Saccharomyces cerevisiae S288C: one gene and its partners. Changing the gene in region 3 together with the main gene of any one other region gives a genetic interaction. Each region holds a gene or a part of one and is shown on either strand. Other genes may lie near its edges. The genes, in order: MPT5, MIX23 and TIM17.

The links.
Region 1: of TIM17 (region 3) and MPT5, extra expression of one rescues a mutant of the other (dosage rescue), as found in Saccharomyces cerevisiae (one study listed by BioGRID).
Region 2: mutations in TIM17 (region 3) and MIX23 impair growth when combined (synthetic growth defect), as found in Saccharomyces cerevisiae (one study listed by BioGRID).

Annotation. Positions count from the first base shown.
Region 1 is NC_001139.9:165,134-172,425, reverse strand, and holds MPT5 (Mpt5p), read right to left. Parts: upstream 5,075-7,292; coding exon 5,072-5,074; intron 4,432-5,071; coding exon 1,855-4,431; downstream 1-1,854. Other genes in the region: YGL176C (uncharacterized protein), read left to right, coding at 1-1,011. UniProt on the Saccharomyces cerevisiae protein: RNA-binding protein involved in post-transcriptional regulation. Negatively regulates expression of HO by binding to the 3'-UTR of HO mRNA. Predominantly binds to mRNAs encoding chromatin modifiers and spindle pole body components.
Region 2 is NC_001134.8:8,373-13,125, forward strand, and holds MIX23 (Mix23p), read right to left. Parts: upstream 2,180-4,753; coding exon 1,589-2,179; downstream 1-1,588. Other genes in the region: putative Rab GTPase-binding protein SRO77, read right to left, coding at 2,475-4,753. UniProt on the Saccharomyces cerevisiae protein: Regulator of the mitochondrial protein import machinery that is localized in the mitochondrial intermembrane space (IMS) and facilitates the transport of proteins from the cytosol into the mitochondrial matrix.
Region 3 is NC_001142.9:144,482-149,350, reverse strand, and holds TIM17 (protein transporter TIM17), read right to left. Parts: upstream 2,251-4,869; coding exon 1,774-2,250; downstream 1-1,773. Other genes in the region: serine/threonine protein kinase YAK1, read left to right, coding at 1-1,384; IRC9 (Irc9p), read left to right, coding at 1,140-1,532; ROQ1 (Roq1p), read right to left, coding at 2,678-2,992; SFH5 (Sfh5p), read right to left, coding at 3,307-4,191; IDS2 (Ids2p), read right to left, coding at 4,650-4,869. UniProt on the Saccharomyces cerevisiae protein: Essential component of the TIM23 complex, a complex that mediates the translocation of transit peptide-containing proteins across the mitochondrial inner membrane.

The DNA of each region.
Region 1 (7,292 bases), on a different chromosome or scaffold from region 3:
CATACTTTTGCCATCTTTTTACAAGACTTTTCTTCCTTAAAACTGCTCAAAATTCGTCAGGTCAAACTCAAAGAAAATTGCCAAGTCCATGATTCTCTTGTTGTTGGAGACACGTTGATTATTACCGTAAATTATCGTTGTCATTTTTATGATTTGATTCCAGAAACCTTTCCAAATCCCTATATCTTTTCTCCTGCCAAAAGCTCAAGAAAACACAAAAGTAGGAGTGACATTACTTCCCTATCATTTTGTCTACAAGAAGATGCTTTATCACCTTTAAAAAAAACGAACACCGGTGTGTTTTATTTAGGTTACAGAAATGGTGATTCAATGGCAATAGTCTTCACTAATATTACAAACATGACATTACAGTACTCCAAGACCAACGGTATGACATCAGAAAGTCGAAATCAACCTATCAGAAATTCCCTAAAATCTGTTGTTTCCATAAAAGCATTGAATAATAAAGGCCTAATACTTATATCTGGAATGGCAGACAAAGAGAATGTGCAACAACTGGTTATAGCAGATACGTTCCTGGAGGACATTCTGACCGAAATCCCGGTTGTATCTTTTAAAACTAAGTTCTTAAACGTGACTAAGGATACAGAAATACTCGAGATATCGGATGACGGGCGCTACTTCATTTATGGTTCAACTAGCGCTAGGGACGGAAAGGGTGATTTTGAAGTATTTTGTACCACTTTATCTGGAAATCTTGACTACGAAAAATCCGAAGGTGGAAATATCACCCTCTATCCAATAGGAGGTATGAAGAACTACTGTAGGTTAGAAAACTTCCAGTTTGAATCTATCCACCTACATTCGGCTTTCATACCCCCAAGGTACGTAAATCCGTTTGATGCTGTGGAACCTCTAGGTGAAGAGAGCAGTACTTCACCTTACGATATACCTGAAGAAGCACTTTCTCAAAAAATATGCATCTTAATTCGGAGAGAAGATGATCCCTACAATGGGGCCAATATCTTCATAACATCTGCTTTGACCTAGTTTAGCCCACCGAGATTTTTGCTTTATAAATATTTTAGCATACTTTGCATTCATATACATATTCATATGTATAAATATTCTTTAAATTTTAACGCCGACTTCGAACTAATTAGCAGTCAAAACCCAAATGTAATGACCTTATGGTGTTATAGCATAATTCTTCTTGGTGTACAATTCCATTCTGAATAGTTCAACGATTTTAGATATAGTTAGATATGATATTATAATAAAATATACAAATATGTATCATTGTTAGTACAAGTTAAACCTAAATATAATAAAGCCAACCAAGACAGGAACCAGTAGAAAAATTTATACAAATGACAAAGAAAAACAAACGGTATTTTCCTATTTATTAAAAATGCTTGAGCGAATGGATATTTTAACACATTAGTGTCCTAAAGGACAATTGGATTTGAAAATAAAATGACAGTAATAGACAAAAAGAAAACTGAATGAATGAATGGACGTATGGATTGCTTAATGAATGAATGAATTAAATAATAGTTGGGCGTAAGTTCAGAAGATGAGGAATTTAAAACAAAAATAATCGTTGACAAAAAACGATTCAAAAAAAAATTAGATCATTTTGGTAGGGAGCAATGCTAACCCTGCAAAGGCAGTGGGAGGATTTTGGATACGTGTTCGGAAACAGAATACAAAATATAAAGATGGCAATAGTTTGCTTTACCATTTTTTTCCGGCTCAAATTTTGGGACTTTAGTAGGACGTCATTGCTTAGTTGAATTTTTTATTTTTTATTTTTTATTTTTCTTTTGTCTTTGATTTCTGCGTAAAATATTTGTACAGTAAGAAGGAAAGAAAAAGAAAGAAAAAAAAGTATTATGGCAAAGTGAATTGAAGTTCATCAGATGTTCTAGCGGTATTCATGGCAGGCATATTGGAAATACTAGCGTTGCGGCTCATATTAACTTGATTATATGGGCCTTGACCAATATGCTGCGACTTCATTGACAAACTTGAATCCCAGTTTGCACCTTCCGTTTGATATTGCATACGAGGCACAAAAGATTCATTGAAGTTTTGACTATTTGCATTAGAGTATGGCGAGAAGTGATTAGCATTAATTTTGTCGGTTTCATTCATCATAAATCCAGGCTGCTTAAATCCCCTTGAAACATTAGGATTCACATTGGTAATGTTAGATGATGAGAACGAATGGATTGGTGCAGCAGAATTAGGATGTGCCATTAAATTTGCAAACTGGCGGTTGTCGAAGTTTTGTAACGAGTTATGGCTTACCAATGGTGGGTTAGTTTGAGAATTGAAAGAAGGTGCTCCCATCGAGGGATATGCGTTTTGGTTGAAGTTCATAATTTGTTGCGGAGAGTGAATTTTCTGATCTTGTGCATATTGGTTTGAGAAATTATTGGTTACAGAGCTGTTACTTCTTCTATGGTAAGCATTAGCTGGTAAAGAAAAATGACGGGTATGACTCTTTTGATTATTATTGTTATTATTATTGTGAGCATGGTTATGATTATGATTATGATTATGATTATGACTATTTTTGTTATGGGGGTTCTTATTTTCGTTGTTAATCGTTTGAAGATTGTTATGACTCATTGCAGTGACTTGAGGAGATATGTCAGTGAATGGTATACCTGTGGCTTCTGCATAAGCTTTAACTTTCAACTTAATTTTCTTTGCATAGGATGTAGTTTTAATACTTGGAAGTAATTCTTTTGTAAGGACAATCAAGTTACCAATTTTCAATGAAAAATCGTTACAAAAGTTACCGTAATTCAATGTACTAGAGCTGTTTTGCCCAATTGCGTTACTATTTTTGTTGTAAGCAAGCAGAGGAGAATAATTCTTAACGTCTAATAGCGTTTGTAACGCATAATTACCAAAATTATCCCTGATTAGCACATTTAAATTGACTGTGAATATATCAATGGTAGTCAAAAGAATGTTCATAGAAGCATTAATCACGTCATCAGAAGCAACTGCAGTCCTTTGGGAGGCACCCCCATTGTTATTAACAATAAATCCAGTAATGATTCTAAATAATTTTTTAATGAATTTTTCCACAACATTTGAGGAGAACTTCAAACAAGATAGTTGACATAATTCATTGGATAAACGGTTAAATAACTCAGCCAATAAGTAAAAGTCCAATTCTTTGATATCTAACAGAAATTGGATGATATAATTACCGAACTGATCGTTGATTAATCCAGGAAGGAACTGCACAATTTTCACAGAAATTTTGAAAATTTGTTGTAGAGTACAAACGCTTAGTAATTTTTGTAGTACGCAACAACCATGTTTATGGGTAGAAATGGTAATGATATTATTTTGTTCTACAATAGCATCTATGATGAAACCAAATTTTGATGGCGAGAATTTGAAAATACACTTTTGAATCACATGGTTACCATTAAGATCGTTTATCAAAGTAACCACTTGCTCAATCGAAGTAAATTCTTGGGAAAATCCCTTAATAATGAGATCGATTTGAACTTCGTTATCGACAGTGTCTATAATTTTCTGTAAGGAACGAGTTCCGTACTGATTGATTGATATTTGGAAAACATTTGGATATATTGTTTGTATTAATAATGTCTTTTGCTCGGCAGTTAAATAATCGCATAGTTTTTGAACCAAATAGTTACCGAACGGATCCAAAATAAGGTCCAAGAAAAATGGCTTAATTTGTTCATACATCAAGTCTCTCACCATATTGGATTCACTGGGGGTTTCTAATTTTTTTTGAAGAAAACGGCAGCCAAACTGGTCAGTGGCAAGTTTGATATAATCCAGATCTCTAAGGGGTAGTGCGCTGATTTCGACCATAGATGAAGACGTTGAGCTACTCAAACCAAATGACGAATTATCCACTCCACATTTGGAAGCAGCATTATTACTATTGCTAAAATTTCTGAGAGATGCAGCAGGAGTCACTGAAGAGGATGGTGTTTCCATAATTAAACTGGAGGTATTGACACCAGAGTTCGAAGGAGCAACAACCGTGAAATCGTGGCTTGATTTTCTCCTGGGACCATCCATTTCCAGATCAAACTCATTGATTAATGGTAGAATGGCTGGAGGATTTGCCATTGAGGCTGAAAGCCCAGTGGAGTTGCTAGCAGCATTAGGATTCGGGGAAAAAGAGTTAGCAGAATTCGATGTTGATGTATTATTCATCAAAGCCAAGGGAGATTGTGTCGATGATATGAACTGATTAAAACCAGAGAGATCAAGCGAATGAGCCTTTTGATGGTTTCTTTTGTTATTCATCTGGCCCAAAGGCGGAGGGGTCACGGGCTCCAAGAGTGATTGGACGGAGTTAATAGATAGTTGAGGCTGATGATTGTAAGACATTAAGGAGTTATTTGATGTAGACGTAGTTAAAATCGATGCTGAGTCGGCAGATGGAAATGGTTCGTTATTGATCTGATTGAATAAAAGAATGTTGTGTTAGTAAAGTGAAACCACAAAAATAAGGCGTGTGCAGAGCCGATTTTGGAGTATAAGCCTAGGATCAATTTCGATAACTGAGAAAGAGAACAATCACAACCATGTACAGTGTCCAGGTGGCCTGAGATGCGTGAGAATCAAGAGTAAATCTATCTATAAAGTTCGACTTCAATGGCGACAGAGGATGGCAAAAAAAGAGGACAGGAAAAGAGGAAGACAAAACACAAAATTTATGCTTGATTTTAGAATGAAACCTATAACCATAAAGAGTAAAATCCTTATAACTCTCAACGAATCTGCATAAATTTTTCATAGATCTTCGAATCTTTTCTTTTTTTTTTTTTTTTTGCTCATTTTTGCCTGAGGCGCCTCTTTCCCGAAGCCCTTCTTTCGAGAAAATCCTTATAGGCATATTCGAGAAATAAGGTAGGGTCAAGTATCAGAAATTCCATACGACATAAACGGAGATTGTTAGACCGCTAAAAAAGGCGTGTCGATAGGCTGATCCCACTGAAGCTGGTTTTTGGTTATTATGCTATTTGTTGTTAGAAGATCCCGTTAAAGCTTATGCTCCATTGGCGAAGAAAAATATTGGGAATTAAGAGATAATACATACCATAAGAGAAACTGGAAAAATCGTAATTGATTTATAAATTTGCGTAGAATTCGCTTTACTATGTGTTGGAGAGGAGTTGAGGAGGTTTTTTTTTTTTTTTTTTTGGTTTTTTAGCTTTTATCTTAAGGAATAGTAAAAGTGGCGGTTGTAGTAGCAGGCTTTTGCTGATCCGTAGTCCAAATCTAGTAATTTCAAGGCGCTTGACTTCTTGATGTTATTACCTTTCTTTTATTACTTAACTTGCCAATCAATGATGTGTCAATGATCTTCTCGGGGCTAGCAGATCTGTTCTTTTTTACCTGTTCTCTTTTTGTGTGAAAAGATAAAGTAAATTATGAAATAGGCTGATCTTGATGTTGACTCAACAGTACCCAAGGTTTTGAAATGTGAATTGTGTTCAGTATATTCAATGTTTCAGATATATATTGAAAGGAAACCACCTATTATGCTTTTTAGGCCTCTATGTAAGAAAATCTATACGTTTAACACAGATGCGAACCAGGAAAGAAGAAGAGTTCTTGTAGGCCACGTTTAAGAATGGCAAGAGAGAAAAAAAGAATGATCACAAGAAAACTGATTTCAGAATTGTAATATCGGACGGCAATACTAGTGTAATCTGAACCACAAGGTTAGTCTTAGCTGGGTAAAACACCTGGCGAAAGAAGAAAAAAAATAAGGAATCTGGATGATTATAAACTTTTTTAAATTACCCTTCTTTTATACATGAAAAGGGCATACAGCATACATAAACGGTAAAGAAAAAGAGGCAATCGTCAGTATTAATTGGCTCTAAGCTAGTCCAGGAAATAACCGCGTATAAATCCAAACCGTACTTCAGAACATTCAGATCTTTCTAGCTACTTGAAAGCGCGTACCATTTCCCCAACCTTAATATGTATATTTTATCACTCACTATGCAGTACTAGGCCGCTTCTTTCTATTGCTTTTCAGATTGCCAGATGCAATATATCCCGCTTCGGAATTATTAAAAATTTAGGGGTTGGCCAGATGTTTAGAACCTCGCTTTCCAGTTAATTGCTTTAGGAAAAGAAAGGCCAATATTGTTGTCATTTTTGTATTTTTTGCGCGGTACTGACCTTTTACTGCGGCGTTTCGCGTTTTTTTGGCATTTCGCGTTTCAGTGCGGCCCCCCCTCCCCAAAAAAATGGCGTATATTTTTAGTTAGTTTCTTCATCGTTCGATGCCTAAGCCGAGAATTTCAGAAGGCTTCTAAGGGCCAGAGTAAAGAGATCCATTGAGCCCCCACCCAGTTGGCAGCGGATGCCGAAGGGCGGAAGGAAGGGGCGTGTATAGGCTTCTTTACGAGAGCAAAAGACATTACAACGTACAAGGGACATTCCGTTCCCTTGTACGTCATGTTAATGAGCAAGAAACCGCTCACCGGCAATGGTTGGTGGTAGTGGTAGTATGGACTCTTTGGGTGATGAAAAGTAATCAGAACATTCTGCAATTTCTTTACATTTCCAATACTTGCTCCATTTAATCCTTTCCTTAGGTGGCGATAGCCCACGCGAAAGACGACCTAGGGTCAGGAGATTATCAATGCACTTGAGGCTTTAACTACTATGGCTTAAGAAGGGTAGCTACTTTATTTTTGTGCTTTTAAGAAATGTAATCATTAATTAAGTAATTAGGAGGTCAAGACGAAAACCATAAATAGATTGTGTAGAAGGGGCCGTACATTTTGTTTCTTATGCAATGTGGTAGTTTCGTTTACCGCCCTCGCCGGTCCATCACAGCATTTTGGAGTTCCTTTCTAAGGTCCATCGGAGCACCTTTATTTTTTTTGCGCTTCGGATAAATTGCATTTGGTTGATAACTTCCATCTCCACCCGTCCCCTCGCACCGGACCTTTTAAAGATCCCTTTGTATATAATAAACCAACGGGTCCTATAAAGACTACCGCTGATATCTTCGGTTTGCACAACGTCCTTCAGCAAGCAAAATATGGCTGTTTTTATTCTCTGTATGTCCTCATTGATGAGGACTCGCAACAATCTTGGCTATTTTTTTCGTTGAGCATACCCGGTCCCTGAATCTTTTGTGCGGGTATTATACGAAGAGCGGGTGTGCCTTACTTATCCGCGCGGTATATAAAGCCATACATTGTTAGGACAGGTGTCCCCAATAAGAAACACTACTTGTAAGTGGTATATAATGCTCGAGCCTCTAGTGACTCGTACTCTACGCCTTGAAATTG
Region 2 (4,753 bases), on a different chromosome or scaffold from region 3:
TTTTAGATTTGGACCCTCGTTCAGAAGCTTACTGTCTAAGCCATCATTTGGTGTGTCCTAAACGGTTTCCATGCAAAGCAACATCTTTGTTACTCATTCCTGAAGGTTGAATAAAAAATAGCAACCATGTGCAGGGAGTCGTATATTGTTAGATTCTAGAGACTTGTACGCATCATCAAAGCTGTAAATAGAATAAACATACGCAAGGCGTCAAAAGTGCATAGTTAAGAAAATTCCTGACATGTGAAAATATGTGTTTATGAAATGTGTCAAGGCCCGTCTATAGCGTAGTTAACCCCTCTGCAGGAGTAAGTGACTTTTTTTACGCTCAAAAGGCAACGAGGGCACATACTTAAAAGTCATTTTCAAACACATCTGCAGTTTGCAACGACAGATAACAATATTATGATAGGATGGTATGATGTTATTAGCTGCCACATATTTTTTAACATAGCATTAGTCACGTCTCTTCAATTGTTGGGATGAAACTCTAAAATATCATTCCTTTAGTAGTATTCCAGTTACCAGTATATTATCACATGCCGAAAAAGAAGATGACATAAAGATCGACAAACAGTCTTCAAATATAATGGAAGCTGGAATGCAAGGATTGATAATGTAACAGGATACTGAATGACAAAGTATAAATGAAAAAAAAAAAAAAAAAAAAGTAGTAATACTATTATGTGGAAATACCGATTCCATTTTGAGGATTCCAATTGTTGGAATAAAAATCAACTATCATCTACTAACTAGTATTTACGTTACTAGTATATTATCATATACGGTGTTAGAAGATGACGCAAATGATGAGAAATAGTCATCTAAATTAGTGGAAGCTGAAACGCAAGGATTGATAATGTAATAGGATCAATGAATATTAACATATAAAACGATGATAATAATATTTATAGAATTGTGTAGAATTGCAGATTCCCTTTTATGGATTCCTAAATCCTGGAGGAGAACTTCTAGTATATCTACATACCTAATATTATAGCCTTAATCACAATGGAATCCCAACAATTACATCAAAATCCACATTCTCTACACCAATACCATCGACGAGAGCTTCTAGTAAATTGTATACATAACAGTATAACCCTTACCAACAATGGAATCTCAAAGATTATTAAATTATTCACAGACTCTGAGGATTCGGGTAAAATAGGGTATTTAACTGGTTACCGGAAAGGTTTAGAAAATTCGTGGAGGGTTGGCCGAGTGGTCTAAGGCGGCAGACTTAAGATCTGTTGGACGGTTGTCCGCGCGAGTTCGAACCTCGCATCCTTCAGTATTTTTTTTGATGATTTAACGTACTATTAACTAGAATAATAGGGAAATGCAATTGCAGTTTGAGAAGAAGAATTATTAATAAGCCAAAAAGCGGCTCACTAAGTAAGTTTTTCTTCATGGCGTCCTTTGCATCCAGCAATAATGGTTTTAGCAAAAAAATCTCTTTCACTACACAAGTTGGAGCATATTTTTTAACAAATACAGATAAACGAAAGGCGATAATAAGTATACTTCCTATGTACAAGAATCTTTAAGTGATATAATCTTTCAGCGGACTAGAAGAATAGGGCGTTCAACTGTTGTCCTTGCAGAATTGCGTAAACTCCTTCAAGTAGTCATTATTTTGCTCGCAGTTTTGCCTTAAAATGCCCTCTGTTGTAGAAGTTAAAATTTGTTCTATTTTTCTATTATTTGCCACCCACTCTGTCACCTTCGTCCAATCCTTATATTGAGCTTCCTGTTTCTCCGCTCTTTCTCTTGCAGCGTAAGGATCAATTCTTGCGTCTATAAGTGGTTCCGCAGTAGTCTTTTTATTATTACCGCACTGCTGATCGGTCTCGTTCTTCATCTCTGCTGCCTCTTTTTCGCAAAATGAAATTATATTATTCCGTATTTGCCAGTTCGGATATAGTTCTTGCTTCAAAAATTCCTTACACTTATTTTTTCCATTAATAGAGCCTTTCCTATAGTTGTTTAATTTTTGTCTTATTATATCATCACTTCCATGCCTTAGAAACCTCAAAAATGAATCTATCAAGCTTGGATCAACACATCTTTCTCGCGTAACTGTGATTGTAGTAAGTGACGGTTCATCATTCGGAAAAGTAAGATTTGTTTCAAGTAAGCTTTGGGGTGCCGTAAACGTACGCCTATTATCAACCATACCGTCTTTTTGTCTACGTGTATAAATGAGAAGTTTTTTTTCTAACTATATCCAAGTTTTTCAAACTACCCAAAGGATATTTAACTTGGCGGACAAAATTACCGTCACGTTCAAAAGTGAATATATAGGCGATTCTGGGTAACAAGCAAAAGTAAACTACAATATGGAATAGTGTAAAACTTCACTTATCAACAACAAAATCGCTTCAAGCCTCCTATCTTAGAGTCTAGAGCCTGATAAAATTCTTATGCGAGCAAGGGCAACCTGATCGAATTTTATAAAAACTATTTATGGACTAAAAACCTACAGCGCTCTTCATCATATCCCTTCCCGTTTCTTCCATTGCGTCATTCATGGTTTGTCCCATTGTGGTTGCATAGTCATTAATAGTGGTTTCTACCGTGTCTAAACGAGTTTCAATTGCCCTAGAAACACTTTTAAGGACACCATATCCATTACTTCTTCCAGAGCTTCTTACAGGTCTGGCATACCTGTGATCTTCCGTACCGGGAGGTAACTTTCTGGCTGCATTACTACTACTGGAAGATATGCATCCTCGAGCAATTGCGCTTTCCTCATACTTCGATTCGGGCCTTTCTATACCGCCCAGTAGCTCATCAAGTTGATATGGTGTGCAATAAATAGTTCCTCTAGCCCATTGTAAGGAATTCACTTGAGGCCTATAACCAATCTTTAAATCAGGATTGTACAAGGTATCAATAGGAGTATGTTGTGATATGTCAGCAGTATGATTCGTTCCGGTGGCACTTTCATTAAGTACTGAAATCAAAGAGGCTTGGAATTTCCCTGTGCGAATGACAATGTCACCATTTTCTAATATAGATGAATTTTCAACGTATTGAGCGCTTAGAGGGACCGGGCAGCGTAGATTTTTGACTTCCTTAAGCTCAGGTACTGTCAAAACTTTAATATCTCCATTAATTAGCAAAACGATCATAATAGTTGAAAGCTTTCTTTCTCCTTTACCGTCAATAATGGGAATAAATGATAATCCACTAGTGGCAATTGGATACTTGAAAAGCGCATGAGTGTCCTTAGATTTACCTGGTGATACTAAACGAATGTCATTTGCGCCACTGATAGTAACAAATCCAGGTATTGCGATACCCTTGCTTAAACCCTGCATCTTTGATATAGTAGCAGAACAACTGTAGCCAGTATCTTTGGCAAAAGAATTTATTCCTAGAATTTTTCCTTGATTGTTGGTCTTTGTTGCATCAGTGAATTTAACCTCAAATCTTCCATTAGTTGCAGGCAGTATTTTGAAAGTCATCAATTCCCCGATATCCGTTCCACATAGCATCAAAATACTAGAGAACCCATCATCTCCATATTCCATGACGCAAAAGTGAACGGTTGAAACGTAAGAGCTACCAGCTTTAGAAATGACCCTAATATTTTCATTGAAGATTATAGCCGGGCCTCTTCTGTCCAATATTATTAAGGTTCCTTCAATGAAACCAACGGCAACGAACCCGATATTACTATTCATGATTGCGGACACCGCACCTTTTTTAGCATGTATTACCGTACTTGGTATAAAGCCTTGTTTAACGTTCGTAGGCCCTCTATCCGAAACATCAACTAAAATAGTTTTTGAATCATCCAATGAAAATCTGCTAAACTTCAATTGCAGTGCATCGCTTTTGGGAAGTTGTCCGTAAAACTTGTTTGTTTCGAATTTGAAAAGAATAACATCCCCAACCTCAGATGATACCGCCAATTCCAATGTTTCCGATGCAAAGGAGATATTTTTTATGGCCAGGTTAGTAGCTCTGTTAAGTACTTTAGCAGTATTCACTTCAAATACAGCGTTGTCAGTTACTTCACTGTGTGAAGCATCCCATATTCTGACTGAACCATTACTATGCCCAGTTAGTAAAGCAGATCTGGTCTCATGCCTTCTAATATTTCTGGTGGCAGGAATACCACCTTTTAAAAACGATTCACTTTGAGCGATTGTCATCATCCCCAGCCAAAGATTTTTTTGAACTGATTGCGCTATACAAGTAGTAACCGTTGGTCGAACCCATGCTAAGCTCCGAGGGAAAATGGAGGCCTTGGAACTAAAAGAGCCTGCTGGGTATATCAATGTTTCAAGTTCGCCATCTTCTAAAAGTAATAAAATGAGGTTTGTGTCATGGCATCCACCAAAATATGGAGAAGCCTTCGGCAAGGGTAGAAAATTTATTAGTGGAGCTTTGCCAATCAACGAAAATAGTTTTTGTTGAACCGGTTTAGCATAGTACTTGCTCATTGCGTCAAATGATGTCACAGAATACATTGGTGTGCCGCCTAAGTCAATCATGGTTATTTCCTGAGGTAAACAGGGATTTTCTGTAGCTTTTGTTGCAATCAACAACGATGTATACTCAGGATTACGCTGGCAAAGCCAGCTTACTTTAAAGATAGCGGGTGTTTCTGTAAAGGAACAGTCTTTCAAGGCAGGATTTGGAAAATTCACATGTGTTTCAAATATACTTCTAGCGTGAATCAGTTTACCGCTATTGACATCCCAAAATACCAAGGAATTATCTTCATGGACAGTTAATA
Region 3 (4,869 bases):
CAACATAAACAGTGACTATATTCTTTATGTAAATGACGTTTTGGGTGTAGAGCAGAACAGAAAGTACCTTGTGCTAGACATTTTGGGTCAAGGTACATTTGGTCAAGTGGTCAAATGTCAAAATTTGCTGACGAAAGAGATATTGGCTGTAAAAGTGGTTAAATCGAGGACAGAATATTTGACTCAAAGTATAACGGAGGCTAAAATTTTAGAGCTACTGAATCAAAAGATAGACCCTACTAATAAACATCATTTTTTAAGGATGTATGACTCCTTTGTCCACAAGAACCACTTATGTTTAGTGTTTGAATTACTAAGCAATAATTTGTACGAATTATTAAAACAAAACAAATTTCATGGGCTCTCTATACAACTTATCAGAACATTCACCACTCAAATACTGGATTCGTTATGCGTTTTGAAGGAAAGCAAACTGATTCATTGCGATCTGAAGCCAGAGAATATCTTGCTCTGCGCACCTGATAAGCCGGAATTGAAAATTATTGATTTTGGCTCATCTTGCGAAGAGGCAAGAACCGTTTATACATACATCCAGTCCAGGTTTTATCGTGCTCCTGAAATTATACTGGGTATACCGTATTCAACCAGTATTGACATGTGGTCGTTAGGTTGTATTGTTGCTGAATTATTTTTGGGTATACCGATCTTCCCAGGCGCTTCTGAATATAACCAATTAACAAGAATAATAGACACGCTTGGATATCCTCCATCGTGGATGATAGATATGGGTAAAAACTCTGGAAAATTTATGAAGAAATTGGCACCAGAAGAAAGTTCTTCTTCTACACAAAAGCATCGTATGAAAACTATTGAAGAGTTTTGCAGAGAATACAATATAGTGGAAAAGCCCAGTAAACAATATTTTAAGTGGAGAAAGTTACCAGATATTATTAGAAACTACAGGTATCCTAAAAGCATACAGAACTCCCAAGAACTTATCGACCAAGAAATGCAGAATAGGGAGTGTTTGATCCACTTTTTAGGCGGTGTGCTAAATTTGAACCCGTTAGAAAGATGGACACCACAACAAGCTATGCTACACCCCTTCATAACAAAGCAGGAGTTTACAGGTGAGTGGTTTCCTCCAGGATCGTCTTTACCGGGTCCTTCAGAAAAACATGACGATGCAAAAGGCCAGCAAAGTGAATATGGAAGTGCGAACGACTCTAGTAACAATGCAGGCCACAACTATGTCTATAATCCTAGCTCTGCCACTGGTGGTGCTGATAGCGTCGACATTGGTGCTATCAGTAAAAGGAAGGAGAATACATCTGGCGACATCTCCAATAATTTTGCTGTTACTCATTCTGTTCAAGAAGGGCCAACAAGCGCGTTCAATAAACTTCACATTGTCGAAGAATAAATCGTTATTTTGTCTGACTTTTCTTAACTACCCATTTCATTTTATTACGGCTTGGTGCCATAATGATATACTAAATAAATATGAATTTTGCCTTTTCTTAATTTTCCTTATACGTATAGTCATTACAATTAATAAAGTAACATTATAAAGTTTCTGCACTAGCTTTTGGCTTGTTGATATTTTCTCTTCAGAGATGAAGTATGGTACTTTTTCAATATATAATATGTACATGGTTGAGAGAAATGGTTGGTAATCTTGAAATAAAAGGCTGAAATAAAGTAAAAACGTAAAGGAGGCTAGTGCGATACGTCATTTATGTAACAAAAAACATGCCGAATAAGGGTACTTCCAACAACGATGAAAAAATGGCTCATATAATGTCTACATGCCTAAGCTTGCAGAGGTTGAGAGGAAGGTGCTTCGGGCAAAGGAGGAGCCATAGGTTTGGCTTGCCAAGCAGCATATCTTTGAAACATTAGTCCCACACCTTCAATCACACCCAACAAACAAGCACACGTGATCGAACTGTTCCTTGTATGCCTCCAACCACCTCTTACAGCTAAAGCGCCACCAGTGAAAAACCCTGCAATGATAGCATTCCATGGGTCCTCTCTCTTTCTAACGGCCTTCACAGCGCAATCAAAAGTCGAAAATAAACCACCCCACACACCAAAATTACCACCCAGTACGGGAGCACGCGCTTTAATGGCGCTCATAGCTCCTGAACCACGCTCACCTAATGGCGAATTTCTAAAACCTTTAATCCCATGCCAAACAACACCACCAATGGCACCCATGGCAAAAGCACCACCGAAATCATTTAGTATGACTATAGGACATGGATCTCTCGAATGATCGGCTGACATAACGCTCCCGTGTACTCTATTTTTCTTAACGCTTTCTTCTGAACTTGACTCTTTCACAGCTTTTCCATCTTTTGATGAGAATAGTGCTTTTATCCTCTGGATTTGGCATAAAAATGGAAACTTTGGCGCAAGAATGCCGGGTTACCCACTTTGTTGAACAATAGCAGTAAAAAAGGCGTCCGATGAATGTTCGTTGTATACACCCGAAGATTTCTGTATTCAATGATATATATACATATCTATATGAATATACTATACACTTTATGCACAGAAATTAATGATTTGATAAAGTCCCGCTATCCTTCCGTGGCGCCACTGACAGTGGCATGTTATGAAATGCATATAATCGTTACAACCCCGAACCCGTGCGTGGGCTATTCAGTATAACCCGAATGGTATTGTTAGATATGCTTTATAATGCTGGAGTTCATGAACAACGGCGAGAGTGAACGTCTCCACCCAGACTGCTGCCGTGGCCGTATCGACTGCCGTTTTCATCGTCACCATGATTATTGTTGTTGTTATTATTACTGCTTGTGTTTTCCTGTATGCCTAAATTAGTCAGCTCTACAAAGTAGTATATCACGCCAGGCTGTGTAGGCTGGTTATTGATCCCGAAATCGCCCATGGGAGACTCCTCTACCAAGGAATCCACTCTAGTCTGGTCCCGCTGGCTCCTGAGTATACTACTGTTGCTTTTTTTGTGTGTCCTGTATATTGTTGAAGTTTCCCTCCTTAACATCTTCTTCTTGTTATCTTATCTCTTGTTTTTGCTGACTTTTTTCCCTTGTAAATACCTTTATCTGCGATCTTGTTCACCTTCGGTGCGTTGTCTTTTATATAGGCGGATCTGATCGATCTGTATCCCTATTATTGCCATTACCTTCTAGAAACATTTTCGCAGCCCCTTCGTTTCGTACGGTGTTTTCTGAGCCATATAAGTGAAGATACGTGAGAGATAATACAGTTAGATGGTGATTTACCTGAATATAAGGCAAAAATAAGAAATTATTATAGGGTTTATATAAGAGACTATTATTAGATCATGCCAACAAATCACTCAACGTCCTCGATGATTTGTTTTTGTAAAATGTAAAGGCCGTATTCTGTTGGATGGACATTTGTGACATTTTGCTTGGTCAGATTGTTCTTCTTATCTTTCCCGCCATACCCTTCATATGGGCAATCCTTCAAGTATTGACCCAACTTGCTGCCGTCGGTTAATACCACGAACTTCTTTCTGGTGGTTTCGTCAACGAACTTTTTGATTAAATCGTAAACCCAGCCGAAAACGGTGGGGACATTAACAAAATACTTTGCATATAACAGTTCTGGATAGTATTTTTGAAAGATTCCAATGACCGTCTTGCTACAGTTTTTAATGTCAGAATCCATTCGCCACACGGAGACGCCTTTATAATCGTGGACTTGGGTCATATAGTTGTTGTCGGAGCTGGTGAAATCTAATAAGCTCAAACCCTTTTCCATGAGCCCGATTCTGTAGCGTACAAACTTATCCACATTTTGAAACAATTCTTTTTTTTTGACCAGTTGGCCGTATAAGTTCCAAGTGACAGCCTTTTTATTTGCGTCGCCGTTTGCATCGAATGTCAAAATACCAACGTTTTGCAATTCTGTATTATGGACTTCCTTGTAGGCACAACTCAATGGGTTGAATTCCCTCCTCCAATTCAAAATATCGATCAGGTTCTGTACAATGGTGCTATATTCAAATTGATAGGCTTTGCAAAGTTTGTAGGTTAGACGATCGGCGATTTTTTCGTCATAGTATTTATCAACCTCCTCTTGTGTAAGACCTTCAGGATTCAACTTGTAACCATACAATTCATCGTATCCTGCACATTTTTCCTTGATAATACCAGGAATCGCTTTTTTAAGCTTATCGAAAACCTGCTTCTCACTGTCATTGTCGAATTTCATTTTAAGGATGTTAATTTAGTGAATTAATTACGATTGGGATTCTAAGTAGGAAAAAAAAAAGAGGTACAATTGCAATGTACAGCTCGTTTTTCTTGGTGCGATCACTAATTAGTAAAGCGATGGACATAGTTTTTTTTTTTCATTCCGCCCAATTCTAGCCACACCCGAGAATGTAGAAGTGCTAAAATAACCTTGAACTTTCAGATATAGTGATGATAAAGGAAACCAAAAAAAAAGGAATTAAAAAGAAGGATAATGACTATGTGGTAGTATACAAAAGGAAGTGATTACAAATACGGTGTACCGGCATGTTTCAGCAAAAAAAAATATAATTTTTTGTTATTATAACTGCATTTTAATGAAACACATTATAAGTATGATGGGATTAACTATGAAGAGGGTACCGGACCGCCTTTAATGAATATTGAAGAATTGCGGAAAAGCAGTACTATTCTTATTTAGTTTGCTTGGTTCAAAAAGTCTCGCCAAAGATCTAGCCACTTGTTCATAATAGATTCTCGATGTTGACCGGCAGCAATGTAGTTTTGTCTTTCCCAAGGTTTCAGGATTTTAAATTCGATTATCTTATAATTCAATCTATTCGCTGGCACGCTAGCTATGGGAACAGCACAGTATCCAACGCTATCTATATAACTCCATTTATCGCCAAACAATGCT